Neodiprion lecontei: one gene and its partner. The protein of the gene in region 2 purifies or fractionates together with the protein of the main gene of each other region. This does not show direct contact. Links are inferred from orthologs where the notes say so. Each region holds a gene or a part of one and is shown on either strand. Other genes may lie near its edges.

The links. The genes of interacting proteins can lie anywhere in the genome.
Region 1: the proteins of DNA topoisomerase 2-binding protein 1-B (region 2) and serine/threonine-protein kinase ATR-like purify together in Homo sapiens (affinity purification with western blotting; 8 studies listed by BioGRID). This does not show direct contact. The link is inferred for Neodiprion lecontei from reciprocal best matches to the Homo sapiens genes TOPBP1 and ATR.

Annotation. Positions count from the first base shown.
Region 1 is NC_060264.1:32,008,319-32,012,077, reverse strand, and holds the start of serine/threonine-protein kinase ATR-like, read right to left. Parts: upstream 2,148-3,759; 5' UTR 1,894-2,147; coding exon 1,850-1,893; intron 1,589-1,849; coding exon 1,383-1,588; intron 1,293-1,382; coding exon 1,122-1,292; intron 1,007-1,121; coding exon 849-1,006; intron 613-848; coding exon 463-612; intron 369-462; coding exon 167-368; intron 85-166; coding exon 1-84. Other genes in the region: neuronal PAS domain-containing protein 4A, read right to left, coding at 2,830-3,618. UniProt on the Homo sapiens protein: Serine/threonine protein kinase which activates checkpoint signaling upon genotoxic stresses such as ionizing radiation (IR), ultraviolet light (UV), or DNA replication stalling, thereby acting as a DNA damage sensor.
Region 2 is NC_060264.1:28,711,147-28,714,905, reverse strand, and holds the start of DNA topoisomerase 2-binding protein 1-B, read left to right. Parts: upstream 1-1,330; 5' UTR 1,331-1,809; intron 1,810-2,006; 5' UTR 2,007-2,019; coding exon 2,020-2,142; intron 2,143-2,363; coding exon 2,364-2,503; intron 2,504-2,742; coding exon 2,743-2,878; intron 2,879-3,226; coding exon 3,227-3,334; intron 3,335-3,425; coding exon 3,426-3,629; intron 3,630-3,759. Other genes in the region: uncharacterized protein LOC124294485, read right to left, coding at 1-353. UniProt on the Homo sapiens protein: Scaffold protein that acts as a key protein-protein adapter in DNA replication and DNA repair. Composed of multiple BRCT domains, which specifically recognize and bind phosphorylated proteins, bringing proteins together into functional combinations.

The DNA of each region.
Region 1 (3,759 bases), about 3.3 Mb from region 2:
CGTCAGGAGTACATGAGGTTGGATTGTCCATTAAATAACGCGTGATTTTGGCGCACGCTGCATCTCTCAAGGGCTCAGAACTTACTGTAATTGAACGTTTAATTCATGACTGTTCTTCAGTTAGTATATTCGATCTTATTTAATTACAAATTGCTTTTAAACTTACCATCAAAATTATTGCAGATTGTCAAATCAATGACATCATAACAAAGGCTGGTAGCAGTTGGAGAAGTTCCCATCTCGCTGACAAAATTCGTCAAAATTTCCACCCATTCTGCATCCGTGCCTGCCGATAGTATACCAAGACTTTTCCAGCTAGGAACAAGCTTGACCATCTCTATAGTCCGAACTATGATTGCGTATTTTTCCTTAATGATGAAAAAAAGAAAAATATGATTGTAGAGGAAAATATGCTACGAATATGGACACGATATTGAAAAATCATTGTGTTTTTATCGACACCTTTGGCCCAATTAGCGATCTTTGCATCATCTGCGTCGCAATTTTTAGTGCAAGGAATTTTACATCTGGTGAAGAATCAACGATCATTTTGAGACACACATCCCATAACCTTGACTGGTTCCATTGTGTAACACCAATGTTTAAAATGATCTGCAAAGATCAAACGATGGTTAAAATGGGACCAGCAATGTGATTGAAAGTCAAAAAAATACATATCATAATTAAGATGCGACATGAAATTTTTTTTCTATATAGATATCGATGAATTAATTCTACTATTGTTTCAATTAGTTCATTGAACAACTCTTATGCACAGACTTGTTATTCGTTCTACTATTATGACTTGCTATGGTTGTCAAGTTGAACCATCAACCCCTTAACGTTACCTTTGATATAAAAATCTGTAGAGAATAAAGCCTTTTTTCAGGTACCCTGAGCGGCAAGGAAACGAGATCTAAGTAACCTATAACACCAGACTCAGCCTGGAATCTGGCTATTTCCATCTGATCTCCAGGCTTACAGTTTGCTTCAAATTTTACAATATCTGTAAACGTAAGGACCTGAGGTTATTATATCACATAGTTCATTTCTTCCTTGCTATTCAAACCATGCTATTAGCCAACGGTTAAAAAACAGATTCAAAACTCTTTTAGACACACCTTCCAAAACATCCAGCAGCTCTGAAGATATTCGATTAAAATTCGGTGGGTAATGTGTAGCCAATATGCGCAGCATACAAGCTTGTACTTCCAAACTGCTAGAGTGTACTTCTGTACCAAACGGTGCACCCGATATGTAGAACATCGTTCCAAAAAGCCAAATTGTAAATTCTGTAATAAAATAGGAGAAATGATTCTTCGCATCACACCAACACTTTTATCAATTTTTATTTGTTGGCGTCGATAAGCTCCTATATTTACCTGTATACTGTCTCTCGAGATTTTTGTAATTCTCTCCTACCGCCTGCGGGGGAACCAAAACATTTGTCAGGTTGGCAGACCCCTTAAGAATGGAACCCAAAATGACACGAATTGTTCGTTCCGCCGTGTCGTTTTGTAGGTCCGACAATATAGCGACCAAAGGGTTGTTTATCACTCTCCATACTGTTTCTGCAGTCGCTACGCTACTGTTGATAGATGAACCATAATAACAAATATATTGTTTCGATGATAAGAGTACAAGAGGATGAATTTACATCTGCTCATGTTCGAATTTACCAGTGTTCAAATAATGTTATATATAAGAATTGAAGGGGTTAGAATAATAAAATTAAAAAATACACAATTACAAACAAAATCACGTCTGTGATGTACGAATTTGCCGGTGTCCAAATAATTCAATACAAGTATTGGGTTAATTAATAAGAGGTTAGAACATCAAGACTTACCTGTTACTCGAATTTGATAATTCGGTAGTAGAATCGCTGCTCATGATTTTTATTTAGGTTTGTTTTCCTTGCGAACTACGAAAGACTTCGTATTGACGATACGAGATAGGAGGTTGGAATATTGTTTGGACTCGCATCAACGAAGAATTTGCTTGACACATGCGGTATTTTATTCAACTGAAAAGAGCACATATTGCCGCCTTCATAACTAAAGCCAAAAATTGCTAAAATTCTTGCTATCACAGAATTTACACCCCTATTCATCAAACTCCACAAGCGGTTGCAGAGCGAATTCGCGACTGACAGGCCATGCTGTACAATTCAAACTGGCTGAGTCGCGAGGGCGTCGGACCGCATGGGAAACACGGCGGTAATACTGGTCGGTAATGCAGATTCACCGCGGACGGTAAGTGTACCGACTGTTGGTAAGACTACGTAGAATCAGTCAGCTCTGGTAGGGTCCCTAAAATTTGTATACCTAGGTAAGTGTTTGCTTATGGCATCACGTATTTAGACCGGTGAAATATAATAATAATACTAATTCAGTGATTTTAGACCACACGATTTAGAATTTTAGCACCATTTTATTCACATAATAATAATTATTATACAAACAACTCCGAAATGAAAATAGTAACATACATCATCACACTCGCGTACTATATAACTATACACATATAATAGAAATGATAATACATTTACACGGAGAATAATTGTAACAATATGATAGTCACGTACGCACAAAAAACAATTAATCATCGTTCTCGTTCCGTTAACTCTGCAGTAATAATTTTGCTAGTCAAATTTTGTGAAACAGAAATTGGTATATTCGTGAGTTTAAGTATTTTTTATAGCTATCATGACTCCCAAAATCGAAATCGATAATCCACGGGCACATAGTTCAATCCGAAAAAGAGACAAACAGCACCGATCAGTGTAACCACGGTCTTTCAGAAGGACATTCGTCCTCATTTAGTAAATCATTTTGTAACGTCAGAACCCGCCCCTGTATGTTTTCGCCTCGTAGCAGGTAACTGTAGGGTGATAGCAGGCTGCGAAACCTCGCAAGGTTGCACAAGAGTCCGCTTGCTCTCGTGGCTGGTGATGTTACGGAAGTTGACCTTGAGGCTGGGCACGTGGTGCTCGGCTGACCAGTCAAAATTGAAAATCGGCGTCCCGGACCTGAGGTCCGAGTCAGCAGAGACGTCGGTGCAAGGTGTGGTAGGCGTTGTGACGCAGGGACTGAGCTCCTGGAGCTGGACGATATCAGGAACCTTTTGGAGAGTGTCGACCCAAGCGTTGCCAACGGAAGTACAAGCCGAGCCCCAAGGCTCGGTACAGACCTCGGCCGGCTCGACGATCGTCGCAGTTTTAATCACCAGCCGCCTCTGCGAGTTATAGCTGCAGCTGTCTATCGCTGTTGCTGTGCAGCAAGCCGAAGCTACGATTGAAGTCACTTCGGTACTATCACCGTAACTCTTGTCCAGGTCCGTTAGACTCACGTACTTCGGAGAACATCTCGGGGATGAACACTCTCGCAAAATCGTTGAACTAACCCCGGGAACAGAGTTGCCGTGATGCATCTGCTGCTGGAGCAGGGTGCTGCTCCCTTTCCGCTGCTTGTTATTACGGATGTTGAATGTCAGGGCTTGGGAAAGTATGTGGAGGGTTCGCTGCTCGATGTCCCCTGTGTGGTGTGAGATCACGGCTCCGTTTATCGACATGTCCACCGGTTCCGAAGTCTCCCGACTAATGTGCGTTGAAGAATGCTGCAACGTTCAAGAATACGTGGCATGTTCGAAAGATAACGGGAATTTTGTAATATTGAGTGTGTATTAGTCCGATTCGCGTGTTTTTTTCGTTGTGTGTTGATAAACTTGACTGAAAAGTTGCTGCACAGTATTAGCCGA
Region 2 (3,759 bases):
ATTCCCTTCAAATATGTTAGCAATGGCTTGGGTACGTGCCATGATTCGTTGTTTAGCTTGTACATTTCAGCCAGAAACTGATGTGATGTCCTCTGCATCGAATTAGGAAGAACCGCTGCAAACCGCATCCACAAATGAATGACAGCATAATATTGAAAAACTGATTCTGAGAAATTGGCAGAAAATTCTGGGTTTTCAGCGCACAGTGCAGCGTAAACGCGAGAGCACAACGATATGTAGCTGTCGGTTGTTATCGTAAAATATCGTGCTGTCTTCATTTCCGTTAACTTGATCTCAATCTCCGGAGTCTCAAAATCGAGAGGATCTTCCAATTGATCGTCCGCAGATGCCATGTTCCTTTGTCTTCGTCAGTGACTTTGTGGCTATTTCTTCAATGCTGGTGCTGTTTCTAGTACTTTCACTGATTTTTTTCTAATTGAAATAAACAATGTCACAATATTAAAAGAACAATCACTACTTTTAAATAGTTATTTCGCTATTCTACCACCTTCTTGTAGGACAGAAAATATCGTTTACGAGTACTACGATAAGAACTAAGCGTGGAATGAGCAAAGACGCGGGCTCACAATTGGCCAGGCTTCTCGTTTCCCTCCTATACCGCCACTCTGCAATGATGTGATCAAGTGTCGTAAGACTGATGGGATTCCCCCGGTTTTTTCCACGGCGCGAGAAGTTGTGTATTCCCCATAGACTTATCAAGATTTTCAGTCACGCCTTAACACAAAGCGATATCATTAGTTAAATTCGACTAATTCATTGCTTTATGCGTTGAGTAAAGCTGTTAAAGCAGTTACGTTAAAAGGATTTTGAGTGCTTGCGAATTGCGTGTTAACTTTCAGCGGTAAAAAATCGACCTGATCGCTAATATGGCTCCTTATGGCCCCAGGCACACTTACCCGCCGAGTACTGCTCACAGAAATTTGCTAACAATCCTTTTAGAAACGATTGTAAACGTTTCTAGACTAAGTATGAAAGGGGTAAGCGTCTTTTAATTTTTTAGCCAACGCTTCCTATGAGACTTAGAAAATTGTTCCGATTCCGTTCTGAAATCTAATACCGAGAGCGTTCTGGAAGTATGGTTTTCCTAGGACACTTTTCCCATTTTCCATGGGTGCGTTCCGAAATTAGCTCCCAGTGCTGTCAACAATCTTTTATCTCATTTGTGCTGTCGAGTTCAGGCACTGATCTGTGTTATATAGAGATCAGTGACCACGACCAAAAATTATTACAAAATCAAAAAACATTAGTCACGCGCATGCGTATTGCGACTCCATTTTACATTATCCATTTCACGAATGAAAATACTCTCCTGACACAACCGTCGTGAAACATCGTAAAATATCGTAAAGCAGCGACCGGGACGCGGGAAATGCCGTATACTAGTTATACCAATTGGCAGTTAGTTTATCCTGGTTTTTTAATTATTCACCGGGTTGGCACAGAGATTGTCATTATGAAATGACTTGACTTGACGGCAGATCAAGAATATAGATGTTTGTCTATTATGATTTAGCCATCGCTCTACATCACAATAATTGTTATTTATCATATTTTTATCTGGAGTTTGAGAATCGTTGTAGTTTTAGGAATATAACCTATTCTGCAGCCTTTTCTACGTTCAAAATTACAAACGCCGGACCATTTTCAATTCGAGTTATCATAAGTTTAATACACGAGAACTGGAACTTGGGTAATTTTTTCAATACATCAAAGACACAAGTATAAGTTTCCAGTAACTTGTCAATAATAATTTATGACTTACAAGTACTCGGATCTAAAATTTTAAAGGTAAGAACTCTTTGTTTTTCAAATCTTTTGTAACACATTTCTTACCTTCAATTCCACTTTCAGTAATAAGGCATGACACTCTGTATTTTATGGTCAACCCATGTTCAGTACAAAGTAATTATTGTCAATGGTAGATTTAACTATATGCCAATTTAGAGCAGAAATTCAATTTAGATCAAATTCTCATTACATTACAGTTGATTTGGATTTATGAAATACAGAATGACCAGCGAAGGAAGTCAGGTGGACTCCGATTTGAACATATATTTTGTCATAACGAGAGATCAGAAAGATGAGAACGATTGCTCAAGCGACATGTGGCATGCATTTAATGTAAGTATATCTGTTTAACCATACTAAAAATTTCATGGGTATTTGCTGACATTCAACCATAAATCACCTACTGCAGTTCAATGCAATTTGTGATTCTGAAGATTTAATTTTCTGCAAATAGTGCAAATAATTGATTTCACAGGATAAACTACAAAGTATAATCATATGCACGGTAAAATTTTATGCTCCAAGTTTTTTCTGATCACACTTTTATTTTATAGAGCTGCGACGAACACGAATTATCGCCAAAATGGATTAAAGAGAATTTATGCGACAACTTAGCACCAGGAAAGAAGGACGTGTTTGTATTGGAAGAATTTGAGGGGTCAACGTTCGCACATTTGAAAAAATTTAAATGCTCGTAAGAATTTAATACAGCTGTTGATTGTAGCAACATTTACAGTATTCATACCATTTACATTTCTAATCAGAAAATTGAATCTGCATGTCATGAATTTCTTACATTATACAATATTTCCTTCAAACAAACTCATTTCACTTATCATAATAAATCAGCACATAAATATCAAAGCTCGATGAAAACTCGGTTGAAAAATTACGTAAGCTGCTAGTAACAACTGATGGTTCATTATGTTTTAGCAGAATAGTTGGACCGCGATGTTTACTGAGCTGTTTCATGACCGGGGAACCAATTCCCGAAGGAACCAGCCCAGTATTCACAACTGCAATGAGAGGCCTGGTTGTCAGTGTGTCTGGTCTCACTTCAGAGGCAAAAGTACATATTATCTACGAATTATTTTCAAATTATAGAGGCAATTGCAAGTTGGTATGCAAACAACTGTGATGCTTGTATGATACTATCCTGTTCCGATGAAATAGCAATTGTTATATTGCGATCATTTAAAAATTACAAGGGTTCTTTATTGTATTGCCTTCAGTGAAAATTATTGTTCAAGTTTTATTGATCGTTTTGTGTTTTATAGAAAAACAGATAATTTTTTGCGTAAATATTGTCTTCTGTGTGCTCCTAAGCAAACAAAGACATTTAAACATATATATACTCACAGTTGACAAAAGGTAATTCAATCATCGATTATTCTGAGTCTGATTTTTTTGTTTTCAGGAAAATATAGGAAGGAAGGTAGAATACATGGGGGGTGTTTATTCGCGACAATTGCGAAACAGTGTCACACATTTGATTGCAAATTTTGTGATGTCTGAGAAGTACGAGGTCTGTATATTTATATATGGCTAAAAACATTAACAACGACTCTTACAAACACGAATTGTAGCAATTTTCGATATCATTTATACTTTTCTAGAAAGCTGTTGAACAAAAAATACCAGTCATGACTGAGAATTGGGTAACAGCAGTATGGGAAGCAAGTCTTGTGGAAAATATACGGGCTACGAGCAGTAGATTTGACGAATACAAGTGCCCTGTCTTCATGAATCTAGTTGTTACCTCAACCAATTTATCTAAGCGAAAAAAAGAGATTAAACAATTGATCACTGATAATGGTGGGGTAAGTATTAACATCCAATGTGTGATGTTTCTCATTGCCCAGAGCTTTGAGCGATCTACTTTTTCAACTATTATTTTTTTTTTTCCTCATCATTGACTATTTTCTACTATCTTCTCGAAAAGTTTACTTT